Linked DNA regions of Sus scrofa. The protein of the gene in region 2 interacts with the protein of the main gene of each other region in a biochemical or structural test. Links are inferred from orthologs where the notes say so. Each region holds a gene or a part of one and is shown on either strand. Other genes may lie near its edges. The genes, in order: EVI5, DLG1 and IQSEC2.

Region 1 (10,833 bases), on a different chromosome or scaffold from region 2:
GTAGTCCTCAGTTACCTAACAGAACAGAATTTTTGTTCCCTAAGCTCTGCCTCAAATGTCGGTTACTTTGCAGAAACTCCCTCAGTGTTAGGAAGCTTCTCTGCACATGACGGAAACCTGACTCTAACTTAACTCCCCACCACAGCTCGCCCTGCTCCTCTCAGCCTCCATGTCTTCATAAATGGCCCTTCCATCCCTCTAGCTGCCCAGCTCCCAAATCTCAGGGTCATCTTTGATTTCTCTTTCTTTTATCCCATAGCCAACCTGAAGACAAATCATGTTGGCTGAAAATACATCCACGTTTGATCGCTTCCCACTCTGGTCCAAGCAGTCCCTTTCCTGGGCAGCGTTTGACTGGTCTCCCCGTTTCTATGCTTCCCTGGAAGCAGCTCACTGCACAGCGGCCAGCTGATGCCTTGCAACATTAAACGTGAGTCAGATCATGTCTCACTCATAGTAAAAGCCAAAGGCTGGGTCCCCCTGCATTCTCTGGTTCTGTTTTCTCTCTGGCTTCATCCGCTAGCATTCTCTATGTTGCTTATGCCCTTCTAACCACATCACTAGCCTCCTGGCTGTCCCTTGCTTGGATATACCAGGCATGTTGCTAGTTGCTTTTCTCTCTGCCGGGAATGCCCCTGGTCGGGTGGCTTGCTCTCTCTCCTACCTCCTTCTTCATGGGGTCTTCCCAGACTATCCTCTTTAAAATCGTAGTAACCTTTCCCCACACTCCCTCTTCTCTTCCTTGTTTCAGTTTTCTCCATGTACTTACAGCATCTCATATACAGTGTATTTTGGGTAGTAATTTATGAGTTCAATTTGTTATCAAATCAAGATTCCTGCTGCTCATTTTCTATTTATTCTCTTCTAAGATGATCTAAATTCTTAGGAGGCTTTTTTATGGTGGAAAATATACATACATGAATTTTACCATTTTAACTATTTTTAGATCTAAAATTCAGTAGCATCAAGGACATTTTCACAATACTGTATAACCATCACCACTATCTGGTTCCCAAAGCCTTTCATTACCCCAATTGGAAACTGTGTACCCATTTAGCAATAATTTCCCAGGTCCTTCTCCCCTGGACCCTGATAACCTCTAGTTTCCTTTCTGTCTCTATAAATACCTAGATACCTCCTACAAGTGGAATCATACAATATTTGTTCTTTTGGGTCTGGCTTATTTCACTTACCACAATATTTTCGAGGTTTAGCCGTCTGGCAGTATGTATCAGGACGTTGTTCCCTTTTATGGCTGAATAATATTCCGTTGTACGAATATACCATATTTTGCTTATCCATTCACTTGTTGATATACACTTGAGTTCTTTCCCCTTTGGGCTGTTGTAAATAGAGCTGCTATGAACCGTGGTATATCTGAGTTCCTGTTTTGAGTTCCTTTCGGCAGCTTGAAGGAGAATTGCAGGGTGCTAGGGTAATTATGTATAACTTTTTGAGGAACTACCAACTGTTTTCCATAGTGGCTGCATCAATTTGCATTTCTACCAGCAGTGCACAAGGGTTCTAATTTCTCCATGACCTCAGCAATATTTGTAATTTTCAAGTTTTTTTTTTTTGTAATAGTCATCATGGTGAGTGTGAAGTGGTATTTCATTGTGGTTTTCATTTGCATTTTCCTAATGAATAATAATATCATGCATCCTTCTATGTGCTGCCGTACATCTTTTTGGGGGAAATGTCTGTTCAAGTTCTCTTCCCATTTTTCAACTGGCTTGTTTTTTCTTATTAAATTGTAGCAGTTCTTTATATAGTTTAGGTATTAATTCTTTGTTAAATATATGATTTGGAAATATTTTCTCCCGTTCCATGAGTTATCGTTTTACTCTTTTGATAGTGTTCTTTGATGCAGACAAAAATTTTTTTTGGCTGCACTCGCAGCATATGGAAATTCCCAGGCCGGGGATCGAATCTGAGCCGCAGCTGTGACCTGTGCCACAGCTTTGGCAACAACGGATCCTTAACCCACTGGCCCAGGCTGGGGATAGAACCCACACCTCAGCAATGCCCTGGGCCGGTGCAGAGACCACACTGGATCCTTAACCCCTTTTGATGAAATCCAATTTATGTATTTTTGTTGTTGTTGCCTGTTTTTGGTGTCATATTTAAGAAATCATTGCCAAATCCCATGTCCTAAAGATTTTCTCCTGTTATTTAAATGAGTTTTATAGATTCAGCTCTTTGATCCATTTTGAACTAATTTTTATTTGTGGTGTAAGGTCCAACTTCATTCTTTTACATGTAGATATTCAGTTTTCCTGCTCTACTTTTTACGGATAGTACATATCTGTTTGTTGTCTGTTTTCTCCCACGAAAATTTAAGCACTGTTAGGGCAGGGTTTGCATCTGTTTCTGTCATTGATATATTGTATTAATTATCTATTGCTATTGCTATTTGTGGTTAAAAAAAAAAACACCCTAAAATTTAGTGCTCTAGAACAACAACAAACATTTATTATTTCTTACAGTTTCCTGTGTCAGGAATTTGGGAGCAGCTTGCTGACTGGTCCTTGGGTGGGGTTTCTGAGATTCAATCATATGTGGGCCAGGACTGACATGGTCAGACAGAACTGGGGCTGAAGGATCCACTTCCAAGGTGGTTCGTTGATATGGCTGGCAAGTTGGCTCTAGATGCTGATGCCTTTGATTTTTTTCCTTTCTTTTTTCTCTTTTTCTTTCTTTTTATGCCCACACCCGAGGCATATGGAAGTTCCCAGTCTAGGGGTCAAATCAGAGCTGCAACTGTCAGCCTACACTACAGTCAGCAATGCCAGCACGGGATCCAAGTCACATCTGCAACCTATACCACAGCTCATGGTAACGAGGGATTCTTAACCCACTGAGCGAGGCCAGGGATCAAACCTGCATCCTCATGGATACTAGTTGGGTTCTTAACCCCATTGAGCCATGACGGGAACACCTTTGATTTTTTTTCTTAATAGAGCTGTTCACACCTGACAGCTGGCTTCCCCCAAAGCGTGCGATCCAAGAGAACAAGGTGAAAACTACAGTGTCCTGATAACCTAGTCTCAGAGGTTATAGACTCTATTACTCATGCTATATTTTATTGGTTACACAGATCAGCTCTTATTCTGTGGGAGGGACTGTAGAAGAATGTGAAAAACAGGCCGTGAGGATCAAGGGGGTTCCAGTTAGAGGATGGCTACCAAGTCTTTCTATCCCCACTGCCTAGAGCATCACCTAGAATAATAACCTGGAATAATAAGTAGTGCATTCCATATAAGCAGTATGCATATGTAAATGTTCAGAAAATATCAGATGATTCAGTGAGTCACTTGGAGGTTACTGGTGAAGCCACAGCATTAAAGAGCAGCAGAGGGAGTTCCCGTCGTGGCGCAGTGGTTAACGAATCCGACTAGGAACCATGAGGTTTCAGGTTAGACCCCTGGCCTCACCCACTGGGTTAAGGATCCAGCATTGCCATGAGCTGTGGTGTAGGTCACAGATGAGGCTCGGATCCCGTGTTGCTGTGGCTGTGGTGTAGGCTGGCAGCTGTAGCTCTGATTCAACCCCTAGCCTGGGAACCGCCATATGCCGCGGGTGCGGCCCTAGAAAAGACTAAATAAATAAATAAATAAATAACAGCAGAGGCTTAGGAAAGACAGGATTGCTTGGAACCAAGAATTCTTTATCTTCAGGATGTTTCCATCTCATTTTTACTTCTCTGAGTATAGCCAGGATCTCTGCGTTCAAACCCCTAGAGCTTCCTAATGAGAAAGAAAAGGGCTTCAACTTTTCCAGTTCTGCTGTGAAAAATCTTTGGGCGGGAATCTTCTAGGCCTTCCCTTTTGACCTAGTTGCTGTGGCCAGGGGGTTAAGGTGATGTGACTGGCTTAGCTTGAGTCAGGTGCCTACACCTGTCAATAGAAGATGGAAGAGGATGTGGACAGATAAAGACAGGACAGCTCCCTGGCCAGGTTAGGTGCTCCCCAGTCTGTATGTTCCTGCTATATCGCCATACAATGGAATATATCATTTTCGTCCATTTATTTGTTCATATGTCTGTCTTCTGCACCAGAACCAATATTATTAAACTAGAGTCTAGACACAGGTACTAGGTTTTTGTAACTCTGAACAACACAGGCTTTGTAGTGAAGAAAGAATTATGCTTGCATGTTTGCTTTTACTTTTTCTGTCATTGTGATGTTGGACCAGCCTCAGCATCCTCATCTTTTTATATGAGCCTAATGATGGCTGCTTCATTTGGAGGCACCTTACATTATTGCTGACCTTGTTGTAGGAGCTGAGAATGTCTGCTATCACCCTACCTCCTGGGAAAGTGTCTGACACAGTGGTGTGTCCTTCATATGCTTCTGAATGAATGATTGAATGAGGAAATAAATGAAGCATTCTTCCTGACTTGCTTGGGTTCACTTGTAAATTTTATGAGTATAATAATAGGGTTATGGGGAAGATTGAGACTATAGATAAAAACTGCTTCCAAAGCCCAATTCAGAGAGAATGGAATATATCTGAGTTCTCTCTCACAAGGATGTTACTTGCCTTTGTATTTCATAGACATTACCAGTTAATTGTCCTGAGTAGGAGTTCCCATTGTGGCGCAGTGGAAACAAATCTGACTAATAACCATGAGGACACAGGTTGGACCCCTGGCCTCGCTCAGTGGGTTAAGGATCCGGTGTTGCCATGAGTGGTGGTGTAGGTCAAAAACACGGCTCAGATCTGGTGTTGCTGTGGCTGTGGTGTGGGCTGACAGCTGCAGCTCTGATTCGACCCCTCGTCTGGGAACTCCATATGCCGAAGGTTCGGCCCTAAAAAGCAAAAAAAACCCCCAAAAAACAAAAAAACCCAACCAACCAACCAAACAAAAAAAAACAAACTCAAGGAATTTCCCCTGTGGTGCAACAGAGTAGGTAGAATCTCTGCAGGTTGCTCTTTGGTCTGGCCAGTGCATTAAAGGATCTGGCGTGGCTGCTGCTGCTGGGTAGGTTGCAACTGCATCTTGAATCCCCCCCCCCCCCCCCCCCGGCTCAGGAAATCCATAGGCTGGGGGGCGGCCACAAAAGAAGAAAACCAAAACAAAGCGAACTCAAGAACGCAACGCAACTCCTACCACGTTCATAATTTTGTCTCGTGTCAAATTCAAGTCCTGAAACCACCTAATACATAGAAGCTGCTAACCAATGCCAGAGTCAGCACCCCAAACACAGAACAGCTAGTGCACAAGTGTCATTCTGAGACAAACCAAGTCCTTGAAGGCAGGAAGGAACATGGACGAAAGAGAAAGGAGGAATGGAGGAAGAAAGCAAGGGAAGGAGGAGGAAAACATGAAATCAACGAGCAACCTTCTGCCCCAAAGCTCCCCCTGCCCCCTGCAATCCCCGTCCTCCGCATGGCCATGGGCAGCTTCCTCGAAGTGTGCCACCTAACCAGAGTGTAGGGTAGAGCCGAAAGGGTGTCGAATGGGTGGATCCCAGGGGTAGTGTCTTGTAAACACTCCCGATGAGTCAGCTATAAATTCAATTCAAATCCCCAGTCTCTCTGTCTTTGCTTATCATGGTTACCACCAGAATGACTGCTGCCTTTAGAAACCCTTCTGGGAAACAGGTAAATGTCTAAAGCAATGTTTGATTTTACATCGAAACTTATAAAAATGTAATTGCTGTAACAGGAGATATTTTGTTCACTGAGTTAGGGTTTATAGACTTTGCTTAATCATCAAAACACAGGAACAGCTTGTGGACATTTCAGTTTTATTTTGAGAACGTTATCTCATTGTGCTGCGGCCACTGGAGTGATGAACAACAATTTATGAAGTGTTAGCTTTAATTCTACACCTGCAAAAAAGGTTATTTCGGTAACTGACTGTTGTAATTCAAAACCGTTTCTTTCCCTGCTGTAATTGGCTGCTGCCTATCTTTTTAGACTGTACTTTCTCAGAGGAGACCGTATGTCTGTATGGGTTTCAAATTCCTCCCGTGGAGAAAAAGATGAGCTGTAGAAAATGCTGGTTACCATAGAATTTGTTCACAAATTCTATTTGATGGCAGCGTTAAGTGTTGTGTGGCCTCTCAGTGATGACTTCAGCAGTGGTTACTTCCCAGCCGTGTGTAGGAGTATAGGGCATAATAAAAGCTAAATTAATTTTACTGTAGAGTAACACTTTCCTAATGTATAGTTTCCTCTTTTTTTTTTTTTTTTTTTTTGGTGAAGGTGGGGACAGAGTACCTTATTAACATTAGCTAAAGTTTGTATTTACTGTTATCATTTACTGTTATACTTTTGAGGGCCATACCTGTGGCATATGAATTTCCCAGGCTAGGGGTCCAGTCGGAGCTGCAGCTGTGGTCTACACCTCAGCCACATGGCAATGCCAGATTCGAGCCACATCTGCAAACTATGCAGAGGCTTGCAGCAGTGCTGCCACATCCTTAACCTACTGAGTGAGGCCAGGGATCACACCCACATCCTCATGGATACCAGTCCGGTTCTTAACCTGCTAAGCCACAATGGGAACTCCCTATTGTTGGTAACTCTTATTTGTAAGATGAAGGATGAAGAATCGAAGCTTATGGAGGTTAAAGGCCAGGCAATTAGCAGGTGGTCGAGTCAGGATTTTTCTACTTCAGAGTCTTTTCAAACTCTATTTAAAATTTTTGACATGTTGGTACTTTGGATAATAGCAATTGCAAGAGCTATCATTTGCTGAATGCTTATTCTGTGCCCTGCATATGGTATTTCATTTAATTATCACTCTGATTTTAAGTAGATACTTTATCTCCCGTTTTTTTATGGATGAAAAGGCTAGAGTTCAAAGAGGCTTAACAGGACTTCCTGTTATAGTGCAACAGGATTCACAGTGTCTTGGGAGTGCTGGGATGCAGGTTTGATCCCCGGCGCGGCACAGTGGGTTAAGGATCTCTCCGTGATGCAGCTGTGGCTTAGATCTCAGCTATGACTATATCTGATCCCTGGCCTGGGCAGGGAGGCTAAGGAAAAAGAAAGAAGAGGCTTAACACACTTTCAACAAACACACTTGAAATGTTAGGTCACAATGCAGTCACTTACATTAATGTAGAGGTTACTAGTTCCCAGATCATTGGATAAATTGGAATTACTACCCTACTTGCACTATATCTTATCTTGCTGTAAAACAGCTATTTCAGACAGTCAAGAAAAGAATGGACTTCTCCTGTGGTGGGTGAGAAGGAAATTGGCGCTCTCTTGATGTCCCATTTTGGCAGTGCAATGTCAAAGCTGCTGTTGGGTGGATAGCTGATATCACACATAGAAATGACATCCAAACTCTACAGTCAGAGAGCTGGTTCTTTACCACAACTGTGGCAGATCTAGTCCTTATCTGTGCTCAGGTGCCAAGAGATGGCAATAGATTTGTGTGGCTCTTAACAATGTTCTTTCCTAAGATGCCGTGTCTAGCAGACAGCGGAATGCAGTGGAGGCGAAGCGGTGAGGCTAAAGCCGTTCTTACCTCTATAGGAGGAAAGACCACAGCGCTTGTGCTTGGGTGCCTTTTGGATTTGTGCTGTAGAAAGCATTGAGCCAAGTGAGATAGGCTTTCACTATTTCATGGTGAGCCTTCGTTTTTGCAAAGCAAAAAGAAAATTGCGAACATTAGCTGGAGGTCACAGTAGAGTGTTATTTCTCCTTTTTCTAGAATAGTGCGGCCAAGAGAACTTTCTAATGGATGGAAATGGTCTGTCTACTGCCCAAGGCAGAAATAAGCAGACACACGTGACTCTTGTTAAGCTCTTGAATTGTGTGAATGCCTCTGAGAAACTGAAAATTTCGTTTAAATACAAAGAGTTGGAGTTCCCGTCGTGGCGCAGTGGTTAACGAATCCGACTAGGAACCATGAGGTTGCGGGTTCGGTCCCTGCCCTTGCTCAGTGGGTTAAGGATCCGGCGTTGCCGTGAGCTGTGGTGTAGGTTGCAGGCGCGGCTCGGATCCCGCGTTGCTGTGGCTCTGGTGTAGGCCGGTGGCTACAGCTCCAATTCAACCCCTAGCCTGGGAACCTCCATATGCCGTGAGAGCGGCCTGAGAAATGGCAAAAAAAAAAAAGACAAAAAAAATAAAATAAAATAAATAAATAAATAAATAAATAAATACAAAGAGTTGCATGAGGCTAGTGGCTGATGTATTGGACGGTGCAATCCTAGAATGTAACTGAGATGCCCTGATTTTCTCTGGAAGCTCCAGATGCCAGCTGCCCAGAGTCAGAGTGGAGTGTGGTTCACCACTGACTTCACTGTGAGTCCTTTTCTGTACCCTGGGCAGTTTTTGCCTCTCAGGGGAATGTCTCCCTTGCCTTTCTGTGAGTAACGAAGCTCACCTGGCTGATGTATAAAATGCTTGTGGCAGTTGAGAGCGTGGTGTTCTGATATTTAACCCTTGCCAGGTTTAGCGGCCATAGGAGCTCAGACCTTCTTTGTTTTCCTGTCCTGGACAGTGACACAAATCCATGCTAAGGGTGTGTGGCATTAGAACATACAGAATCATGGAGTTCCTGGTGCGGCTCAGTGGGTTAAGGATCCAGCGTTGCCACACATGGCAGCATAGGTTGAAGGTGCTGCTCGGATTTATAGATGCGATGATGCCGTGACTGTGGCATATGCTGGCACTGCAGCTCTGATTCGACCTCTAGCCTGGAACTTCCATGTGCTGTAGGTGTGGCATTTAAAAAAAAAGAAAGAAAGAAAGAAAGAAAGAAGAAAAAAACATAGCATCTTGAATTGCTAACTGAATTTACCTCAAATTCAATTGTCTCTGAGGTGGGTGCCCCTGCCCACTGCCCCCACACTTCCTGTATCTTCTACTCGAGTTTTTCCAGAGTGTGAACTGCAGAGTGGCAGAGAGCTGGAGCAGAGGCGGTGTTGGGGTGGAATTCACACCGTGGAATTTCACTTACGCAAGTGCTCACGCGCTTGTGAGAGGTCAGAATTAGCTATTTCTCGGGTGAGACTGAGCTTTAATTTTAATTTATTTCTACAACTTTTATTTATTCAAAATTTAATTTTTTGATGAGAAATTAAAGTGTCAGCTCTTTCATCAAATAAACTGATGGGTCCAGGGTGAGTGAAGAAAGGAATGAGCCAGGAGTGGCGTTGGGGGGTCAGAGCTCCTTTCCTCAGGCCTGTGGCCTCATTAGAGACAATACATTACGCACTGAGCCCAGCGGTACTGATTGCTTGGATTATTTAGCATTTTAATGTGTACCTGCAGTTTGTACCAATGAAAATGTATATAATTTGTGCCAATAAAATCAACACCAAGCTTGTTTTTATCATTCATTCAAAATACTTTGAATAGCTACTATGCAAAGTGCTCAGGCTCCTGAGTGGCCTAAGACAAGGCATGATTTTAGTCATTGCAAAGCTCTTCATCTCGTGGGTAGGTGATACACATAAACCACTTCCAACATTAGACTGACCGGGTTCAAAGTCTTGTCCAACCATCTTCCGTTTGTATAAACAAGGGCAAGAGGCACGGAATTTACGAGGTCTGTTTTCTCATATGCAAGGGGGTTGTAATAATTTCTGCCTCATGATAATAGCGTGAGGATTAAAAGAAGCAATGTAGGTACAGCCCTCGGCCGATATTCCGATATTCACACACAGAGAGTGCTCAGCTGTGTGTTTAGCTTTTTTTTTTTTTTTTTTTTTTAAGGACCCCATGTGCAGCGCACGGAAGTTCCCAGGCTAGGGGTCAAATCAGAGCTACAGCTGCCGGCCTACACCACAGCCACCAACGCCAGATCTGAGCCACATCTTCGACTTCACACCACAGCCCATGGCAACTCTGGACACTTAACCCATGGAGTGAGGCTCGGATCGAAGCCACATCCTCATGGTTACTCATTTGGTTCGTTACCCGGAGCCACAACGGGAACTCAAAGCTTGCTTTCTTTAACTGATGTATGCAATATTATATTAGTTTCAGGAGTACAATACAAAATGATACTTTTGTGCATCATGGAAGGGTCACCACAGTAAGTCTAGTTTCCATCTGTCACTGAAGTTATCACAGTGTTACTGACTATATTCTCTATGCTGTACATGACATTCCCAAGACTTACTTATTTTCTAACTGGAAGTTGGTACCTCCCCTTAATTTATTTCATCCCCACCCCTCTGGCAACCACCAGTTTGTCCTCTGTATCCCTGCGTCTGTTTCTATTTTGTTGTATTTATTGGTTTTGTTTTTTGGATTCCACATATAAGTGAAACCATGCAATATTTGTTTTTCTCTGCCTGGCTTGTTATTTTTTTCTTTTCCTTTTTTTTCAGCTGCACCCATGGGATTTGGAATTTCCCGGGCCAGGGATCGAATCTGAGCTGGATCTGCGACCTGCACCACAGCTGCAGCAATGCCGAATCCTTAACCCACTGCACTGGGCTGGGGATCAAACCCTCATCTCCATGGAGACAAAACAGATAATTAACCCACTGTGTCACAGCAGGAACTCCTCTGCCAGACATGCGTTACTTAGCATAGCACCCTAGGTCAGTCCATGTTGTTGCAAATGGCAAGACTTCCTTCTTTTTTGGGGGTGGAGTACCATCCCGTTGTGTACACATACATCACTTCTTTACCCTTTATCTATCGATGGACACCTAAGTTACTTCTGTATCTTAGCTATCATAAATAATCCTGCAATAAACTTTTGAGTGAATATAGCTTTTAAAATTAGTGTTTTTATTTTCTTCAGATAAATACCCCAAAGTGGACTTCTTGGATTGTATGGTAATTCTATTTTTAATTTTTTCCTTTTTTTTTTTTTTTCAGGGTCATGGGTTGGCATATGGAAGTTCCCAT
Region 2 (10,740 bases):
TAAAATGGGCATCTGTTCACTCAAGTATAACTTGTCTCCTTTGTCAGTTATTAGTGTTTCATAACCCAAATTAAATGATGCAATGACATTTTTTCTCCTTTGGGTTTTATGTTTGAACTAGTTTAGGATCACTTTGCCCTCTTCATCATATTCTATTTACTATTTGTAATAAGATTTTGTTCACAGACTCTATTGGACAGAAATGAGGCATTGTCCTTGATTATAGATTTTTTCCTTGCTATTTCATACTCACTTATTTGAAATAAACTTCTCAAAGAAAATCAAAAATATTTTTAAAAACTCTGAATTATGTGTGGTTTATATGTCGACATTTTGTTGTTACCTTGTTTATCTTGATAATTTGCTTTTTTTAATCTCATAACACTGTATTTTCTTTATTTTTTCCATTGTCCTGCAACTTCAGAACATGTAACTTCTAATGCCAGTGATAGCGAAAGTAGTTACCGTAAGTGTTTTAAGTTATTTGTTCTTTCGTTATCTCAAGTAATATACCCTTGGGGTTTTTCCCCCCTAGTTATGTGTTCTAAAAACTGAAAATTAGATGCTTAATATTTTAAAATCAGAGAGAGCCAAATAAAGCTCTGTACTTAATAAATTAAAATCATGCTCTAATGTAGAAGTTAATACCAAGTTTTCATAAAATACAAAAATTCATTTTACAAACAGTGCTTCTTATGTACATAGTACATGCATGTGAATTGGTGTCTTTTGTAAGAAATAAGTATCTAGTTAAATGAGAGGTAAACTTGCATTGTGCCATTTTATTTAGTAACTCTGTTTCTAACATGAGCATTAAAATATTTGTTAGTAATGCTAAATTATAATTAGCTTTATTTCCTTTTTCTATTCTGTGTCACCAATACTAGTATGGATCAAGATATTGTTTATCACCAGCTTTTGGTGAATGTAAGAAATGATGAAGGGAAAATTTTCACCAGTTGCTCAGTCAGTAATCATTAATACTGATTTCTTTTTTGGTTCTTGTGTTAGTCTTTGTATTGTATTATTAAATGAACAATATAAGCATGTGGAATTTTTAACCATATTTGGGCATGGGAGGAGGAGGGGGAGAATACATGAATATTATCAGTTGTAGCACCTTAAAAATTAAATTGCTTTTCTAACTTTTTTTTTTACTGCTGTCTAATATGAAAGTAATCTTGATTACAGATGAGTATGGCTGCTCAAAAGGTCCATCCTGTTAATATCAGTCTCTAATATTTTTCATGTTGACAATATATACTTTTAACCCTCGTTTGTTTGATTGGTTGATTTTTTTTCTGCAAGTAGTTACATAATGATTTTCTCTATTGGTGTGGGAATGTGATTCTTGTATTTTAACATTTTATTTACTTAAAATCAGAACACACTAGAGAGTAGTTGAGTAGCTTTCTAGGCTAAAAAGAGGTAATGAAAGTATATACTGTCTATGTCACCATTTGCATGAATTATTAGGTGTGTAATATTCAAATTGCATGTTTTTGCTAATATGTAATGGTTTACATATAGTACTTAAAAAGCAGTTTGTAAATATATATGCTCAATGTATTATAGTAAACTTGAAAACAACAAAATACGCTTTTAAAGGAGGAAAGAATATTTATTCCAGTTATAATTTAAAAGATTTACAGCTACATACATATAACAATGACAAATTTAGTGAGAATATTATTATAGAATTATAATGAGAAAATCTTCAAATACATTATCCAATATCAATTGATTTCACTGAACCATTTGAATTTAACAATTCTTCCTAGTTTGTTTTCTACACCTGTGTGTGTATATGTATGTGTGTGTTAAGACCTGCAGTTTTTAACTCCTAGTTATTTTCATTGAGTCAAGATATAATTTGTACACTTTTCTGTTTAGAATATTCTTAAGCTCTAAACCCTTAATTTAATCTTAGAGAAATTTAACTTCTAAAGTGCTTTTAAGATCAAAGCAAAATATGTTTTTTCTCCTTACTATTTATATGATTCATTTTGTTGAAAGAAAAGGATTTAGTTTTATCTAAAGCTTTTTTAACTCAAAATTTATTTTTTTAATTGAATAAATGAATTATAATAATCAGTGAAATTTTCATCAGTGAAATAGTAACACTAGCTTTTCCTTTGCATTAAAATGTTTGGCTAGAAAATAGTTGTAATTATAAAAATATGTATGTATATTAAAATTATACCTGGTATGACCAAAAAAGCAGCATATCCTTAATAAGAGTAAATTACCTACTGTGTATATATGTATAGAACTGTCATTAAAGTGTTTAAAAGATTTAATACCTCTTAGATTCTAAATAAAAAATTAATAGCACATACTTGACAAGTAAAGATTTTAAATAAATATAATGACAATGCGTAAAACACAGAATAACAGAAAGATAGTTATTAACTAATACATTTATGTTTTGTTTTAACATTTATCAAACTTTATGATTTGTCACTTTTTTCCTTAAATCTTGCCATGATTAATTTATAAAGTACTCTTCTTTTAACATCTTTGGCTGTTTTCTTAGGAAGGTGCTAGTAATTTATATGTTATATGTGAAGAATTAAATTAGTTGTCTTTATATATTTTCTCATCTCTATTTTAACTTTCTAATAGGTGGTCAAGAAGAATATGTCTTATCTTATGAACCAGTGAATCAGCAAGAAGGTTTGTGAAGCCAGTTAATATTTTACAATCTTATAGAAAAATATACTTCTTAATTTGGAAAATAGATGTAATTCAATTCATACTTTAAAAGTTACATTAATTTTACTATTTTTTTACCATTTGTATATATATAGAAATTTGCTGTATGATTTTATGAAATATGGCTTAGCCCATAGATTATGAGGATCTAGTCATTTTATATTGACTATATTATATTGTTTTATTTCCTAAGCAGCTTCTTTCCACTGTTTGTAGTAGTATCACTATGATTCTAGTGACCCTTGTTCAAAATCTTGGAAGCATCTTTGATCTTTCTGTGTTCCTCATTTCCCTTGTCCAATTTGTTTCTAGGCCCTATTTGTTCTTATCATATCTTTCTTATTTATGACCTTCTTTTCATCCTCCTACCACAATGTTAATTCTGATTTTCACAAATAATCTCTCTGCCTCCAACATGATCCCTTACAATCCAGGATATATACTTCTGTTAGATCATCTTTGTAGATCACTGCTATGATTATATCACTTCTTATACCCAGCTTCTTCTTTTTTTTTTTTTTTTTTTTTTTTTTGTCTTTTTCTAGGGCTGCACCCACAGCATATGGAGTTTCCCAGGCTAGGGGTTTAATCGGAGCTGTAGTGACCAGCCTACACCAGAGCCACAACAATGCAGGATCCGAGCCGCATCTGCAACGGATCCTTAACCCACCGAGCAAGGCCAGGGATCAAACCCGAAACCTCATGGTTCCTAGTCAGAGTCATTAGCCACTGAGCCACTACGGGAACTCCATACCCAGCTTCTTTTTTGCCATTCTTTCATCTGTTTCCTTACAATTTTACTTCAAAAAGGATTAGTAAAACATGATACTGTGTTTTCTCACTTGTAATGAGATAATGTTAGTAATGTATAGAAACATTATCTGCTAAAATGCTAGATTTAACTTGGTTGAATTATCCAAGTCTGACTTCCAACAGGAGATTGAAGTTTATGATCTTAATAAAGGCTTGTAAACCATAAGTTTAGGCATCATTGGTGGAGAAAGAAAAAAAGAAATTCTTCGTAATAGTTAAGGGTACTTTTTTTTTCTAGTGAAATATATACATATTTGTTGAATGTTTATCCCTTTTAACATGCAGTATATTTTTTAGTTAATTATACTCGACCAGTGATCATATTGGGACCTATGAAAGACAGGATAAATGATGACTTGATCTCAGAGTTTCCTGACAAGTTTGGATCATGTGTTCCTCGTGAGTAATTAACCCACATTAAATATTTGTTCTTAACATTTTGTCATTGTGTATGGTCAAAGTAAACATTACCATTTTTTAAGGGTTTATTCTTAGTTACATTATCAGTTATTCCTCCACCCTCCATATTATTGTCTCTTTTCAGATTTAAATCGGTCTCTTTTGTGTTGAACTTTACCAAATGATGCTTTAAGTAGCAAATGGGTTTGTTGTGCTTTTTTAATGTTAAACACTTCCTCAAGTTCTTTTCTATTAAAGATACAACCAGACCAAAACGAGATTATGAGGTAGATGGAAGAGATTATCATTTTGTGACTTCAAGAGAGCAAATGGAAAAAGATATCCAAGAACATAAATTTATTGAAGCTGGCCAGTATAACAACCATCTCTATGGAACAAGTGTACAGTCTGTGCGAGAAGTAGCAGAAAAGGTAAGCAAGCATCAAAGTGATCCCAGAATACAGTTTCTAATCAGATACACCTTTGACAGTATGAAAGAATGAAGGGATAGAGACTTTTAATTCCTATTTTTGAAAAAATACAGATAAATGTTTCAACATTGATTACTTTAATCAATGTTATGAATTTATTCAACTAAATATTTACTTTTAGGTGGCTTAGAGAATGGTATACAAGATCAAGTAGATTAAGAAGATAAGCAAAGAAAATAAGAATAGAAATGATAACATGAATTTCTAAGAGGAGAGGTTATTATTTTGAGGTCCTGTGCATTCGCTAGAGATAGAGCTTGTGTTTAGCCCTAGCTTTCCAACATCTAGCCTAATAAAGAAGCTAGGATCAGCAGTCTACCAATAAAAATGAACCAGATGTTCAGGGTAAGTATAAGTTGCTCCTGGTACTGAGACTAGGCTAAAATTTCTCCTGAAAAGTCATTTAACAAAAGACAATGTGAAAAATACTCAGTAGCATTATAATAGCAACAGAAAAATTTTTTAAAGCAGTCTGATGATACATTCACATTGAGTTAAAGCAGCTTTATAATAAAACCAAAACAATGTACTCCAGATGTGCTGCTATGCCTAAGTCACTCTTTGGATCAAGAAAGTAAATATCAACATTACTTTATACTTTCAGAATTACAGTAGTTTAAAACTTAGTCATGAAATACCTATAGAACATATAGCAGTAATTCAACATCTCTGTTTCCCATCATAAATGCTCCTTTTTTTTTATAAGAGGTTTAATTCTGACTAGTTTAAAAAAAAAAATTTAAATGAAAGTGTTCAATTGGCAAGAATTTGAGAAAATAGAAAATCTTACTAGATACTGTTAATGAAGATACACATTACTAAAACTTCATTTGAAAGCAGTTTGGCAGTACCCAATAAATGTACATAATCTTTGTGACACAGGAATTCTACTTCTTGTTATTTAAGTCAAGATTTACACATAAGGATCATGTATAATGATGTTCATAGTAGCGCTTTCTAGTAGTGAAAAATTGGACTCAGCAAAGAGGAGTGGATAATTAACTTATTTATTCATGCAGTGGTATACAGCAGCTAGAGTGAATAAACTAAATATTCACTAATTATGTGTATCCACCTTAGTCTCAAAATTCTAATGGTGAATGAATGAAGTTACAAAGGAAATATACAGGATGACACTACTTGTAACTTTAACATAAAACATCCAGTAGTTTATTGATGCATATTTCCCAAACATAAAAACCATGCAGGAGTATAAAATAAGCTACAAGGATATATAATACAGCACAGGGACTGTAATAACTATAAATAGAATATAACCTTTTAAAAAGTGTGAACAGCTTTCAGATATGGTGAAGCCAGGAGATCCTGGCCAGGAGGACATGGGATCTCATTGTTCTCCCAGCCCTTCAACCCTCCCCCAAAGCCCCTGAATAAAATGGATTGATCCAAATAAAATAAATAAAAAGTCTGAATCACTGTGTTGTATATATACCAGAAACACAAAATATTGTATCAATATCAACTGTGTATCAATTAACAAAAAATATTGCTGGATAAAGAAAACATGCATGGGAATGATACACATCTACTTCGGGAGTATATGTAGCCACTATCCAGTGGTTTTCTTTTTGAGAGGTGAGGGAAGGAAATTGTAGCTTTAGCTTTAGTTTTAATGTTCTACTTCTTTAAATTCTTAAAAAAAATTTTAAAAACACCCTCACCCTAACTGAGGGTAATATCCAAACTTCAGATTATTAATAAATAGAAAAGCAAACACCAAATCATAGCAAGCTATTTCTTGTGGAAACCTTGTGGAAAAGAAACTACCAGGAAATTCCACAAAGTAGAAATGTTGCAAATAATACTCTGATCACAATGCAGTAAAGCTGTAAATTATTAGGAAATTGAAAACAAAAAGGCCTGGCAAAGAGGAAAATTTTATTCATTTATTTATATCAACATACAGTTGATGTACAATATCATATGTTACAGGTGTACAGTATAGTGATTTACAATTTTTAAAGGTTATACTCCATTTATAGTTATAAAATGTTAGCTATAGTCCCTGTATTGTACAATATATTCTTTTTTTTTTTTTTTTTTTTTTTTGTCTTTTTGCCATTCTTGAGCCGCTCCCGCGGCATATGGAGGTTCCCAGGGTAGGGGTCCAATCAGAGCTGTAGCCGCCGGCCTACGCCAGAGCCACAGCAACGCGGGATCCGAGCCGCATCTGCAACCTACACCACAGCTCACGGCAATGCCGGGTCGTTAACCCACTGAGCAAGGGCAGGGATCGAACCCGCAACCTCATGGCTCCTAGTCGGATTCGTTAACCACTGTGCCACGACAGGAACTCCAATTATTTTAGCTTATTTTATATGTAACAGTTGTACCTCTTTATCCCCATCCCTATATTGCCCTACTCCTCATCCCTCTCTCCACTGCTAACCACTAGTTTTTTTCTCTGTGAGTCTGCCTCTGTTATATTCATTAGTTTGCTATACTTTTTAGATTCCATATATAAAGTGATGTCATACAGTATTTGTCTCTCTATGTCTGGCCTTTTCACTTAGCATAATACTCTCCAAGTCCATCTTTGTTGCTGCAGAGCAGGTAAAATTTTATGACAGAATACTGTTCCATTGTGTGTGTTGTGTGTGTGTGTGTATACATAACATATCTTTGTATTCATTCATCTGTTGATGGACACTTAGATTGCTTCCATATCTTGGCAATTGTAAGTAATGCTGCTATGAACATTGGGGTTCATGTATCTTTTTGAATTTAGCGTTTTTTGTTTTTTCAGATATACACACCCCAGGAGTGGAAATGTTGGGTCATATGATAGCTCTGTTTTTAGTTTTTGGAGAACCCCTCATACTGTTTTCCACAGTGACTGCACCAATTTACACTCCTACTAACAGTGTACAAGAGTTTCCTTTTCTCAAATCTTTGCCAGCATTTGTGCTCTTTTTGATAATAGCAATTCTGATAGGTGTGAGGTGATAACCTGATGATTAGTAATGTAGAGCAACTTTTCATGTGCCCATTTGGGCCATCTACATTTCCTTTCTGGAAAATGTCTACTCAGTTCTTCTGCCCACTTTTCAAACAGGTTGTTTATTTATTTGATGTTGAGTTGTGTGAGTTGTTTATATATGATGGACATTAACCACTTATCAGTCAATATCATTTGCAGATATTTTCTCCCATTCAGTCAGTAGTCTTTTATTTGTTGATGGTTTCCCTTGCTGTACAAAAGCTTTTAAGTTTGATTAGGTCCCATTTGTTTATTTTTACATTTATTTCCTTTGCTTTAGGAGGCAGATCTAAAAAAATACTGCTACAACTTATATCAAAGGGTGTTCTGCTTATGTTTTCTCTAGGAATTTTATGGTTTCAAGTCTTACACTTAGGTCTTTCATCCATTTTGAGTTTATTTTTGTATATTGCGTTAGAGAATGTTATAATTTCATTCTTTTACATGTAGCTATCCAGTTTTCCTAGCATTGCTTAATGAAGAGACTGTGTTTTCTCCATTGTATAATATTGCCTCCTTTGTCATAGATTAATCAACCATAAGTAGGTGGGTTTATTTCTGGGCTCTGTATTCTATTCCATTGAATTATGTGTCTGTTTTTGTGTCAGTACCATATTGTTTTGATGTCTGTAGCTTTGTAGTATAATCTGAAGTGAGGAAGCATGATTCCTCCAGCTCTGTTCTTTCTCAGTATTGTTTAGCTATTTGGGATCTTTGGTCTTTCCATACAAATTTTAGAATTATTTATTCTACCTCTATGGAAAATGCCATTGGTAATTTGATAGGAATTGCATTGAATCTGTAAATAACCTTGAGTAGTATAGTCAATTTAGCAGTATTAATTCTTCCATCCTAAGAACACAGTGTTTCTTTCCTTCTTTTTGTGTCAACTTCAGTTTCTTTCATCCCTGACCTACAGTTTTTTAACTATAAGTCTTTACCTCCTTAGGGAGGTTTATTCCTAGGTATTTTATTTTTTTGATGCAGTGGTAAATGCGATTATTACCTTAATTTGTTTTTCTGATAGTTTATTGTTAGTGTATAGAGACACAGCACATTTCTGTATGTTAATTTTATACTCTGCAACTTTATCAGATTTATTGATGAACTTTAGTAACATTCTGGTAGCATCTTTAGGATTTTCTATGTATAGTATCATGTTATCTGCAAACAATGACAGTTTTACTCCTTCCTTCCCGATATGGATTCCTATTATTTTTCTTGTATTATTGCTGTGGCCAGGACTTCCGATACTGTGTTGAATAAAAGTGACAAGAATGGGGCATCCTTGGAGTTCCCATTGTGGCTCAGCAGTTAACGAATCTGACTGGCATCCATGAGGATGCAGGTTCGATCCCTGGCCGCGCTCAGTGGTTTAAGGATCCGGTGTTGCCATGAGCTGTGGTGTAGGTCGCAGATGTGGCTTGGATCCCGTGTTGCTGTGGCCCTGGCATAGGCTGGTGGCTACAGCTCCAATTGGACTCCTAACCTGGGAACCTGCATTTGCTGCAGATGTGGCCCTGAAAAAGAGAGAAAGACAAAAAAAAAAAAAGAATAGGCGTCCTTGTCGTGTTATTGATCACAGAGAAAATGCGTTCAGCTTTTCACCATTGAATATGATGTTAGCTGTGAGTTTGTCATCATGGCTATTATTGTGTTGAAGTATGTTCCCTCTTCCTGGAGAGTTGGTTTTTATTTTCTTTTGCTTTTTTTTTCTTTTCTGCTTTTTAGGGCCACACCTGAAGCATATGGAAATTCCCAGACTAGGGGTCCAATCAGAGCTACAGCTGCCAGCCTACACCACAGCCACAGCAATGCCAGGTCTGAGCCACATCTGCGGCCTACAGCAATGATGGATCCCTGGCCCACTGAGTGAGGCCAGGGATCAAATCTGCATCTTCATGATCCTAGTCAGGTTTGTTAACCACTGGGAACTCCCTGGAGAGTTTCTATCATGCATGAATGTTTGAATTTTGTCAAAAGCTTTTTCTTCATCTACTGAGTTGATAATATGGCTTTTATTCTTCAGTTGGTTAATGTGGTATATCACATTGATTTCTTTGAGGATATTGAAAAATCCTTGTATCCTTGGGATAAATCCCACTTGACCATAATGTATGGTCCTTTTAATATATTGTTGCATTTGGTTTGCTAATATTTTGCATGTGTGTTCATCCGTGATATTGGCCTATAATTTTCTCTTCTTATGATATCTTTGTCTGGTTTTAGTATCAGGGTAATGCTGACCACAAAGAATGAGTTCCACATTCCTTCCTCTGCAATTTTTTGAGATAGTTTGGGAAGGTAGATGTTAACTCTTCTCCAAATATTTGGTAGAATTCACCTGTGAAGCCATCTGGTCCTGAACTTTTGTTTTTTGAGAGTTTTTTAATTACTGATTCAACTTCATTACTGGTAATTGGCCCACTCAAATTTTCTATTTCTTCCTGGATCAGTTTTGGGAGAATGTACCTTTCTGAGAATTTATCTATCTCTTTTAGGGTGTCCATTTTATTGGCATACAGTTGTTCATGGTAGTCTCTTATGATCCTTTGTATTTCTGTGGTGTTAGTTAAAACAGCTTTTTCATTTCTGATTTTTATTGATTTGGACTGTCTTTTTTAAGAATCCTAAAAGTTTATCAATTTTTTTATATCTTTTCAAAGAACTAGCTTTTAGTTTCATTGATCCTTTCTATAGTTTTTATAGTCTATATTTCATTTATTTTTCCTATTTATGATTTCGTTCCTTCTACTAACTTTGGGAATTTTTTTCTTTCTGTAGTTCCATTAGATGTAAGGTTAGGTTGTTTATATGAAATTTTTCTTTTTCCTGAGGTAAGCTCAATTTGCTAAAAACTTCCCTCTTAGAACTGCTCTTGCTGAGTCCTGTAGGTTTTGGATCATTGTATTTTCATTTTCATTTGTCTCTAGGTATTTTTTTATTTCCTCTTTGATTCCCTCAGTGATCCGTTGGTTGTTTGGTAGCATATTGTTTAGCCTCCACATATTTGTGGTTTTTGAAGGGCTTTTGTTTTGTATTGTTTGTTTTGTTTTGTTTTGTTTTTGTAGTTATTTCTAGTCTCATAACATTGTAGTCAGAAAAGATACTTGAGAGTTCCCGTCGTGGCGCAGTGGTTAACGAATCCGACTAGGAACCATGAGGTTGCGGGTTCGGTCCCTGCCCTTGCTCAGTGGGTTAACGATCCGGCGTTGCCGTGAGCTGTGGTGTAGGTTGCAGATGCGGCTCGGATCCCGCGTTGCTGTGGCTCGGCGTAGGCCGGTGGCTACAGCTCCGATTGGACCCCTAGCCTGGGAACCT
Region 3 (10,840 bases), on a different chromosome or scaffold from region 2:
GTTTAAAAAAAAATGTTGGCTATTGTTACATAAAGCCACACAGGGTGGTGCCTGGCACATAGAAGGCTGAGGCTCATTCAGCACATGTATAGCCCCTTCTCCATGCTCCAGACCTTTCCCGTGCTCCCAACAAATTCAGAAGCCACGGGAGGCAGAGGTGGGACAGCTGAAAGAGTTGCAGAGGGCAAGCCTAGGTTTCGTCTTCCTCCCACCTCCCCCTCCATCGGACATCAGGAGATACCCAGTCTCTTCAAAGTCCCCCTCCCAGCTCCTCACCGAACCCTGCTACTCATTTTGTCCTGAGCACCAGCACCAATGGTGGGTCGGGCCTGCCCCCGACCCATGTCTCTAGCTGGGTGTGGGGGAGCTCTCAAGCCCAGAGAGTATGGTATTTGCTCAGGCTGGTGGCCCCTCCTGCTCCGTGCACACAGCCAAGAAATGTTTGTGGATGACAACAGCCCCATTCTTGCCCCAGATCTAGACGGAGAAGCAAGACTCCTCTAATTCTCATTCAATTTGACGTTATCATTGCCTCCCACACGAGTATAATGCTCCCAACACACTGGAGGGGAGAGAAAAGTACCCAAGACCCCAAAGGAGACAGACTTCCCCAGGGCCCCTCCCTGGGCTCCCTCCCTCCCTCTGAGGGCCCTCGTCCCCCCTGCAGGGAGTACACTGACACCCCAGTGCAGGAAGCCAGCTGGGCAGCTGTGCCTAGACCACGCACTGCCCTGGCTGTCAAGAACGCCAGGCCGGCCCTGCTGGTTGCTATCCTCCATCGCAAGCCAGCTTGCTGGGGTGGGTGGCTGGGGGCGGGGAGAGGTGGGCCAAGGATGGAGAGTTACCACCAAACCAGCTTCAGCCCACCACCGCCTACGGCAGAGCCAGAGCTGGGCCCGGGCAAAAGGCGTGGGAAATGCAGCTCTCTTCAGTGTGGAGCCACTCGGCAGTGGCCCCCAGCACGCCTATAAATCATTCCAGGCACCAGAACTGCAAGGGGTTGGTGGGGGGGGCAGGCCAAGATCAACAAGGAAAACACAGCTCTTCGCTAATCACGGGGCGGGGGGGGGGAGTGTCAACAATTTCAGGGAGAAAGATCTGAGCATCAGCAGAGACCAGCAGCTGCTAAACAAACAAACAAACAAATAAGCAAAGACCTCATGTACCGAGGTCCAGCGGCCAGAAGGAGGTTGGGCCTCATCTCGCTCTATGCTGCACTAGAAAGGCCACACCCAGAGCACAGCAGAAGGCAGACTGGCATCCGGGAACCTGTCCAGAAGAGACAGTGCTAGAGGATGTGGGAATCCTTGGGGGGATGACACGGGTGGGGGTGGACGTGACAGCTGCTATCAACTGCGGTAGAGGACAAGTTCCCAGGCTCAGGGAGTCTGTCTCGCGGCTACTGTGACCTCTGGTGTGTTACTTCCCTCCTCTGAGCCCTCGGTTGCTTGGGCTATAAAATGTGGATGGTGGTGACAGATGCACAGGGTCACTGGGCGGACGGGAGCAAGTCCCTGAGCAGAGGGGCCCCTCAACAAGCGGCAGCTGGGCCCAGGCCCCTCTCTCCCCTCTTCCTCCACCAGAGGGAGCCGGGGGACCAGGAGCACCCAGCCTGTACCAGCTCTACCTATCCTCCCCCAATGCTGCAGCCTCTGCTGTTCAACTCCCACCCTGCCTGCCCTGGCTTCCAGCGGCAGCCTCTCACCCACTCCTTACAAACCCAGAACAGGCCTAGCAGGGGAGTCACTTGCAGCAGCTTTGGTGACAACAATGGCTATTGCATCAACAGGCCCTCCTGATGCCTTGGAATGGGGAGGGGTGCAGAAAGGAGGGAGGACAAGGCTTCCTGCCCTCCCCTGTCCACTCCCCCTCTATCACTCATCCCAGATCCATCTCCCCCTGCTCAAATCCTCTAGATACCTAAGGCTCTCCTGGCCTCTCCCAGTGGGTGACCTGGCCAGGTCCGGAGGCCAAGAGACTCCTGTGGGCTGGAAAAGCTCGAGTGGAAAAATAACAGGCCTCAGAGACAGGTGGACTCGGGTTCTAGTCCCAGCTGCATTAGGAACTGGCAGTGTAACCTTGAGCAAGGTCCCTTAATTTTTTTTGGGGGGGCCTCAGTTTCCCCATTTCTACAATGGAGTTGCCAGTGCCCACTGCACAGGGCCTGTTGTGAGGACCCAAAAGAGATTACAATGGACGTACAAATATTTAATATATGGTTAGGAGAGATTCAAAGTACTATCTCAATCCCGTTCGTAATCCAGTAGGAAATGCGAAGCAAGGAAACGCAACAAACAGCCTGAAGGGTGCACAAAAAGAGGGAAGGACTGAGAGGCAGGCCTGCCCGGATGGCAGAAACGTAGAGCTCAAGAGCAAACAGGCTTCCAGCCAGCCAAGAGATTCAGACCCATGTCTAGAGGATGGAGCAATCTGAGGGGAATGGGATCCTGGAATTGAGGAAGACCCAGGTCATTTCATTGGGTTTTACACTGATTCCAGAATGATGTTTTCTCCAGCCCTCCCCAATCCCCTCGAGGCAGTCCACTGCATCACCAGACAGCCAGGTTGGAAAGTTCTTCCTGCTATATCCCCCCAAATCTCCCATTGCTCCTGGTTCTGCTCCCTGGAGCCACCCATAATGAGGCTGCTTCCTCTGTCACAGGCTTGACCACTCTAGAAAAGTCTTCTGCAGCCAGGCTCAAGGACCACAATGCCCATCCAGTCTCCCTCTGCCCTCACCCCACCGTGGCCCTCTCCTGAAAGGGCCTTGCTTGGTCCATTTGGCCCCTCCCTCCAGTGTGGGGCCCCAAGCTGCGCACAGTCAGTCCTTCAGGAATGGGCTCCCAGCAACCCTCCACCTGGGCAGAAGAGCCCATCTCCCTCTGGGGCAGCCCACACCAAACCTCAGCTGAGGGTGCGCTGCAGTGAAGCCCAGTCGAGCCCTTGAGCTGCAGCTGCTGCTCCTGGGGCCCAGCCATCTCAACCCAGCACCCCAGCCTGCTGCCTCACCACGGGGGAGTTGCAGAGAGCTGTCTCCCGGCAGATTTCCTGAGGCAGAAGGCTTCCCCACCCCCAGCCCAGCCTCTAGGAGACACTCCACTGGTTGTGGCACATGGTAGGACCAGCTGAGCCGTGAGAGGAGGGGGAAAGCTGTCCATTCGCTAGAGGACTTCAGACTTGCTCTGTAGTGTGGCTGGATTAGTCACAGAACCATCAAATCTAAGCTGGAGGGGCCCTTAAAGAGCATTCAAGGCAGACCTTGCCTTTTAAAAAGATAGGGACCTGAACGAGGAAGGGACTCAGTCAAGGTCACAAAGCCAACCTGCAGCAGAGCTGGAAGAAGAACCCAGGTTTCCTAACTCCCAGTTCAGTATTCTTTCCAATCCAGCAGAAGAGAAATCAGGGAGCCTTTGGGGCAGCCTTGTGAGCCCGCATGTCCTTGACTCTCTCAACCTGACATTTATCCCAACCAGCTCACCATGGTTATCTGCATGGAAGAAGTGGACCCAGCCCATGCCCCATCAACACAAGAGATATTGCCAAGGTGTCCCAAATAGGCAGACGCGCAGACCCCAGCACAGAAACTGGCACTGATCCAACAAGAAGGAAGCTCTGTAGACTTCCTTTTCTGGCACGCTTTTTAATTGGGTGGTGTTTTTCTTGAGGGTGGAGAGGGGGTGGTCTTTGAGAAACTAGCCAAGGGCCAGGCCTCCATCTTTGCTTCCCCCCCCCCCCAGCCAGGATGTGCTGCAGTTCCCCTCAGAGAGCTGTCTCAGCCTCCAGCAGCCATTCTAGTCCCCACCTGCCTCTCTGGGCAAGGATGGAGCTGAGGCCGCCCGAGGAGATAAGATCAGGCCTGTGCTCAGGACCCGCAGAGGAGACCTGAACCGGAAGGGGGGGAAGGGGGGGGTGTCTTTCCCTTGGGGCTCTGAGCCTACACCGTCGCAGACAATAAAAATCCCGACCAGAACATCCTAAATAAATAAATAAATAAACGAAAAGCCATCCTCTGGCAAGGATACAGCGAGAGGGTGAAGAAGTGGAGGGGGTGATGACTGCTCCTGGCCCTCACTGGCCACGGTTTTGAGAAAGAAGAGATGCCTGCACTCGTCGGGCCAACCCTCTCTGGAAGAGCTAAGGGGTGTTGGCTGCATGAGAGGGACCTGGCTTCTCCCGACAGGCTGGGACAGGAGAGGTGGACATGGAATCAGGCACCGGCTTCTTACTTTACCAGCCGTACAAGTTAGAGAGGGAACTAGCGGGGAAGAGCCGGGGGAGACAAACACGCGTTCCTTACTTTCTCTGGAGGGTTGTGGCCGGGCTGGTGCTGGTACTCGTGCTGTGGCCGCCGCCGGCCCCCGGGCTGGAGCTCCTGGATGCGCCACGGCTCAGCTGGCCCCGCTCCCGCGGTGGCCGGGGCCCCACGCCCACCGCCGCCGAATAGCCGGCTTCCTTCTCGCGGCCCGGGTGCGCTGGCCCGGCCTCCCGCCCGCCACGCTCGCGACCCAGGGCTGGGTTCTCGTGGTGCAGGTGGCACTGGGTCACGTCGCGCTCGCGGGCAGAGTAGCCGGCACTGTCCTGGAGTGGGTAAGAGGCGTCCCGCTCCTTGTCCCGATACACAGCCTCTCGGTTCTGGTAGGCGCCGTCCCGGTTCGGGTAGCCCACGTCCCGGGCCGCCTGGTGGAACTGGCTCTCCCGCAGCTCCCGGTGGTGGAACTGGGTCTCGCGCAGGTTCTGGTACTGGCTCTCGCGGCTCGGGCTATCCCGCGCGCCGTGGGGGTCCCGGTGCAGCTCCCCGCGGTGCAGCTGGCTCTCCTCCCTCAGGTCGCGGTTCTCCTGGGTGAGCTGGTCCAGCTGGCCCTCCAGCTCTTCGATGCGCCGCCGCTGGGTCTCCAGCAGCTGCTGCTGGCTCTCGATGATGTTGTTCAGCTCCAGCAGGTACTCCACCGCCCGGTTAGGGCTCTCGGATCCCGGGCCGCCCGGGGGACCCGAACCCGCCTCCATCCTGGCGGCCCAGGGGCAGGGGAAGGGGCAGGAGAGCCCGGTCCCCGCTCGCTCACGGCGCCACCCTCCCCCGGGCCCAGCCGGGGGAGGGGGCCGGCGGGACGCGAGGGCGCGCACCGGGCTCGAGGGCCCGGGGGCCCGGGGGGCCCGGGAGACAGCGCTGGGGCCGGCGGCACGGGGAGCAGGAGCTGAGGCTGCCGCTGCCGCTGCCGCCGCCGCCGCCGCCGCCACCGCCACCGCCACGGCTCCCGAGGACGCGGCCCACGGCGCTCCGCCCGCTGCGGAGTCACTGCGCAGCGCGGCCGCGCGGGACCGCCCCGGCCGCCGGCCCGCCCCCCGCCCCTGCCCCACCCCTGCTCCCACCCCGCGCGCCCGGCCCGCCCCCGCGCGTCCCACCTGCCGCCGCCGCCGCCGCCCGCAGTCGAAGCCGGACCCGCCCCGAGGCACCCGGGCCAGCCGCATCACAGGCTGCGGCTGCGGGAGATTTCTCCATTCTACCGGCTCCAGGGTCGTACTTAATGCAGCCTAAAGAAGCCCTCCATCCCACTCTGTTCCAATGTCCCTAGGGTCCACCAGGCCCAAGATCCTCCTCTAAAACATTCCAGGAACCGCCATGCCAGGTCCAGGCATACCGCAGACTCCCCATCCCTTAGGTCTGCCAATTCCAAGTGTCAGATTCCCCATCCCGTCCAACTCCTGGACCTCCTATCTCAGGTGACCTCTCTCTAGCCCACATCACAGGCAGTCCCGGGATCTTCCCCCCCCCCCCAATAAGCCCTGGAACTCCCCATCATAGCCAGTCTTAGGAGCAAAGCTCCCTTCATGCGCTCAACCCGCATTTTCTGCTCTCCTTTGGAAATGCTCACCTCCATGCAAAGAAACTGTACCCATCCTTCAAGATTTAAATGCCACCTTACTGAAGCCAGCCCTGATCTCCCTAGCCATAAGTGCTCTCTTCCTCCACGCTTGTGGGACAAGTGGAACTCTGCTTTATAGCGCATTCGTTTTTGTTCTTGTTTCATGTCCTCTGCTAGACCAAGCTCCTTAAAGCCAGAAACATGTCTTCCTTCATCTTTGTGAACAGGTCGGGGTAGAAGAGAAAGCAAGAAAGCATGAGTTTTTCAGTCAGGCAGAATTGGATTTAAATTCCAGCTTCTTTCCGAACTTCCATTTCCTTTTCAATAACACCTACCTCACAGGGGTGGTCTTGGGAAAAAAGCATGCAAAAACATTTGGCATAAAAAAGAAAACCTGGAGAATGGAAGAAAATACTTGCAAATGAGGTATCTGAATATGTAAAGAAGTCTTACAGCTCAACAACAAAAAGACAACCCGTTTTTTAAAATGTTGCCCCTTTAAGGATTTGAATAGATTTAGTCTCCAAGATGTCCAAATGACCAGTAAGCACAGGAAAAGATGCTCAACATCATTAGCCATCAGGCGAATGCAGAGCAAAACCACAACAAGCTTTCCGTTCTAACCTAAAGAGAAACTTTCACAATGTCCAGTGCCCTTGATGTCCTGCAGCTGAAGGAGGAGGGGGTCCTTAAATTCCTTGCAGCAGGAACCCACTTAGCTGGCACCAACTTTGACAAATGGAACAGTATGTATACAAAAGGCAAAGTGATGGCATCTACATCATAAATCTGAAGGTTCTGCTGGTGGCTTGTACCACTGAAAACCCAGCTGATGTCAGTGTCATATCCTCCAGGAATACTGGCCAGCAACCTGTGCTGAAGTTTGCTGCTGCCACCGGGGCCATTCCTATTGCTGGCCACTTCGCTCCTGGAATCTTCCTTAACCAGATCCAGGCAGCCTTCTGTGAGCCACAATTTCCAGTGGTCACTGATATCACGGCTGACTACCAGCTTCTCACAGAGGCGTCTTATATTACCATGCCCACTGTTGCTCTGTGTGACACAGATTCTCCTCTGTGCCATGTGGACACTGCCACCCCGTGCAACAACAAGGGAGCCCCCTCAGCAAGTCTGATGTGGTAGATGGTGGCCCGAGAAGTTCTGCGTGTGTGTGGCATCATCTCCCGTGAGCACCACAGGAGGTCAAGCCTGATCTCAGCTTCTACAGAGACCCTAAAGAGATGGAAAAAGATAAACAGGCCACTGCGGGAATGGCTGTGACTGAGCAGGATTTTCAGGGTAAACGGACCGCTCCAGCTCCTGAGTTTACTGCTACCCATCCTGAGAGCACAGGCTGGTCTGAAAGCATGTAAGTGCCCTCTGTGCCTATCCAGCAGTTCTCTGCTGAAGATTAGAATGCTCAGCCCTCCACTGAAGACTGCTCCTGCTGCCCAAGCCACTGAATGGGTAGGAACGACCACTGGGTGGTCTTAGACTGGTCTTCCACAGGTTCTTAAACAGAAAATGGAAATAAAGCTGTTGAAAAATAAACATCAGTTTCTTAACACACAAACACGCACACAGAGATACCACTTCATACCCACAAAGATAGTTAAAAGAGGACAAAGAGAAGTATTGGCAAACGTACGGAGAAATTGGAACCCTCAATCCTTGCTGGTGGAAATGTAAAATGGTGTGGTTGCTTTGGAAAACAGTTTGGAAGTTTCTCAAAATGTTAAATGTAGGTTTACCATGTAACCCTAGAATCAACTCTTAGGAATATACCCAAGAGAAATGAAAACATAGGTCCACCCAAAAACTTATACATGATGTTAATAGCAGCATTATTCATAATAGCCAAAAAGTGAAAACAATGAAATGTTCCTCTGTTGATGAATGGGTAAACTAAATGTGGTATAGACACACAGTGGAATATTATTCAGTCATAAAAAGGAATGAAGTTCCAAAATATATAAACAGCCCATACAACTCAATATCAAAAAAACCAAACAACCTCATTAAAAATGGGCAGAAGACCTGAATAAACATTTTTCCGAAGAAGACATACAGATGGCCAACAGGCACATGAAAGGATGTTGAACATCACTAATCATCAGAGGAATGCAAATCAAAACCAAAATGAGATATCACCTCACATCTGTCAGAATGGCTATCATCAAAAAGACCACAAATAACAATGTTGACGAGGATGTGAAGAAAAGGGAACCCAAGAAACAAACTCATGGACAGGGAGAACAGACTTGTTGCCAAGAGGAAGGAGGAGGGAGTGAGAGGAACTGGGAATGTGGGATTAGTAGATGCAAACTATTGCATTTGGAACGGATAAGCAACGAGATCTTGCTGAATAGCACAGGGAACTACACCTAATCACTTGTGCTGGAACATGACGGGAGATAATGTATGTATATAAACATATAACTGGGTCACTTTGCTGTATAGCAGAAATTGACAGAACATTGTAAATCAACTATAATAAAAAAATTTTAAAGAAAAGGGAACCCTTTTCTTTAATGTAAATTGGTACGGCCATTGTGGAAAACAATATAGAGGTTCCTCAAAAAACTCAATATAGTTCCTGAAAATAGAACTACCACATGATCCAGCAACTCCACTCCTGGGTATGTATTCAAAGAAAACAAAAACATTACTTTGAAAAGATACATGCACCCCAATGTTCATAGCAGTGTAATTTGCAATAGCAAAGATAGGGAAGCAACCTGAGTTTCCATCAACTGATGCACGGATAAAAAAAGATGTGGGATATATACAAGATGAAATACTACTCAACCATAAAAAGAATGAAATTTTGCCATTTGCAACAATATGGATGGACTTGGAGGGTATTGTGCTTAGTGAAATGTCAGACAGAGAAAGACAAAAGCTGTATCATGTCACTTATATGGAAAACCTAAGAATTAACTGGTGAATATAACAAGAAAGAAATGGACTCACGGATATAGAGAACAAACTAGTGGTTACCAATGGGGAGAGGGAAGGATGAAGGGGCAAGATAGGGATAGGGAATTAAAAGATACAAACTACTATGTATAAAATTACTAGGCAACAGATATATTGCACAGCACAGAGAATATAGCCAATATTTCATAATAACTATAAATGGAGTATAAGCTTTAAAAATTGTGAATCACTGTATTGTACACCTGAAACATATAATATTGCAAATCAACTATACCCCAATTTTTAAGAAAAGGAATGAAGTACTGATACATGCTAAAACATGGATGAACCTTGAAAACTTTATGCTAAATTATGCTAAAAGAGACACTAAAGTCCACATGCTGCATGATTCCATTTATACAAAATTCCAGAATCAGAAAATCCATAGAGACAAAACGTAGAGTATCGGTTGTCAGGGGTGAGGGCATGGGTTGGGGAAAGAGGAGTGACTGCTCTGGGGTTTCGGGGAGGGAGAATGAAAATTTTCTAAAATTAGACGCTGGTGATGGTTGCACAACCCTGTTAATTAAAAACCACTGAATTGTACATTTTAAAAGGGAGAATTTTATGGTCTGTGAATTGTGTCTCGATAAAGCTGATTTTTAAAAACGCTTTGCATAGAGTCTAGCATGTAACAGTAACTATAGTAATAATATCACATCTATGGTGCTTACCCTGTGCTGGGCACTGTGCTAAGTACTTTACATGCTTAATCTGCATGACAATCTTATGAGGTAGATAATGGCATTGCCTCCATCTTACAGATGAGGAAAGTGAAACCCAGAGGTCATACATATGCATAGCCAGGATGCTCAGATGTTTCCTTCTCACTTCTCTGTATCTTTCCCCAGTACCTTGTACAACATAGGTGCTCCATAAAGGTTAAATTGACATATCAATCAAATACTAATACTCATCCATCAAACATTTCTTTTTTGGCCAAGCCCACAGCATGTGGAAGTTCCTGGGCTAGGGATCAAACCTGCACCACAACAGTGGCCTGAACCTCAGCAGTGACAACACCAGATCCTTAACCCACTGTGCCACAAGGGAACTTCTTATCCAGCAAACATTTACAGAGCATTTATGATGTTCTAGGCAATGCCTGCATTCCTGTCCCTATCCCTGCTTCTCTCACTCAGATACCCTTGCAGAGTCAGAGGCAGATAGGTACAAAGTTTCGGTCACAAAACATTTATTGACTGTCTGCTATGTGTCAATCAGTATTCTAGCAATGAAGAAAATAGGCAACAGTTCTGAACCTCATAGAGCTGACATTCTAGTCGGGGAGAGAGACAATAAAGAATAAGACCCACAGAACATGTCATATGATGTACCAGGTTGAATAGTATCTCCCCAAACTTGATGTCTGCCCCATGAATGTGACCTATTCTGGAAATTAGGGTTTTTACAGATATAATCAAGTTAAAGTGACGTCCTACTCTATTGGCATAGGTCCTAATCTAATGAGTGGTGTCCTTAAAAGAAAAGGGAAATTTGGGCACACACACACACCCACATACACACCCACACAGCGCCATGTGAAGATGGAGGCAAAGACTGGGGTCTCTAAGCAAGAGGCACATAAGGATTCTTCCTTACAGCTTTCATAGACCTGAGCATGGCTCTACCAGCACCTTGATTTTGGACTTCTAGCCCCCAGAATTGTGAGAGAGTGAATGTTGTTTTAAGCCAGCCGGTTTGTGGTACTTTGTTACCATAGCCCCAGGAAACTAACCCAGATGGTGGTAGGCGCTCTGGAGAAAGACAAAGCAGGGAAGGAAGATGGAGATGTCTGGGTGAATCAAACACAGCCCGTGCCCTAAGGGAGCTCCCAGTCTAGTCAGAGAATTACATTAGTAAGTCACAAAGAGACAGGCTATGCAAAGCACAGGTGTTGGAGACGCCAAGACTGAGGTGCTGGGAGGTCTTTATAGATGTAAAGGTATTTGAGCTGAGCTTAGGATTTCTACAGGTAGAAGTGGTAGAGTTGAGAAACA

The links.
Region 1: the proteins of DLG1 (region 2) and EVI5 interact in a test that uses a peptide from one of them, tested with the Homo sapiens proteins (2 studies listed by IntAct, with this or other methods). The link is inferred for Sus scrofa from reciprocal best matches to the Homo sapiens genes DLG1 and EVI5.
Region 3: the proteins of DLG1 (region 2) and IQSEC2 interact in a test that uses a peptide from one of them, tested with the Homo sapiens proteins (2 studies listed by IntAct, with this or other methods). The link is inferred for Sus scrofa from reciprocal best matches to the Homo sapiens genes DLG1 and IQSEC2.

What each region holds. Positions count from the first base shown.
Region 1 is NC_010446.5:124,389,809-124,400,641, forward strand, and holds the start of EVI5 (ecotropic viral integration site 5 protein homolog), read left to right. Parts: upstream 1-5,508; 5' UTR 5,509-5,556; coding exon 5,557-5,607; intron 5,608-10,833. UniProt on the Homo sapiens protein: Functions as a regulator of cell cycle progression by stabilizing the FBXO5 protein and promoting cyclin-A accumulation during interphase. May play a role in cytokinesis.
Region 2 is NC_010455.5:133,047,914-133,058,653, forward strand, and holds part of DLG1 (disks large homolog 1), read left to right. Parts: intron 1-424; coding exon 425-466; intron 467-1,176; coding exon 1,177-1,212; intron 1,213-2,625; coding exon 2,626-2,676; intron 2,677-3,825; coding exon 3,826-3,927; intron 3,928-4,185; coding exon 4,186-4,358; intron 4,359-10,740. UniProt on the Homo sapiens protein: Essential multidomain scaffolding protein required for normal development. Recruits channels, receptors and signaling molecules to discrete plasma membrane domains in polarized cells.
Region 3 is NC_010461.5:46,089,807-46,100,646, forward strand, and holds the start of IQSEC2 (IQ motif and SEC7 domain-containing protein 2), read right to left. Parts: upstream 5,173-10,840; 5' UTR 5,005-5,172; coding exon 4,298-5,004; intron 1-4,297. UniProt on the Homo sapiens protein: Is a guanine nucleotide exchange factor for the ARF GTP-binding proteins.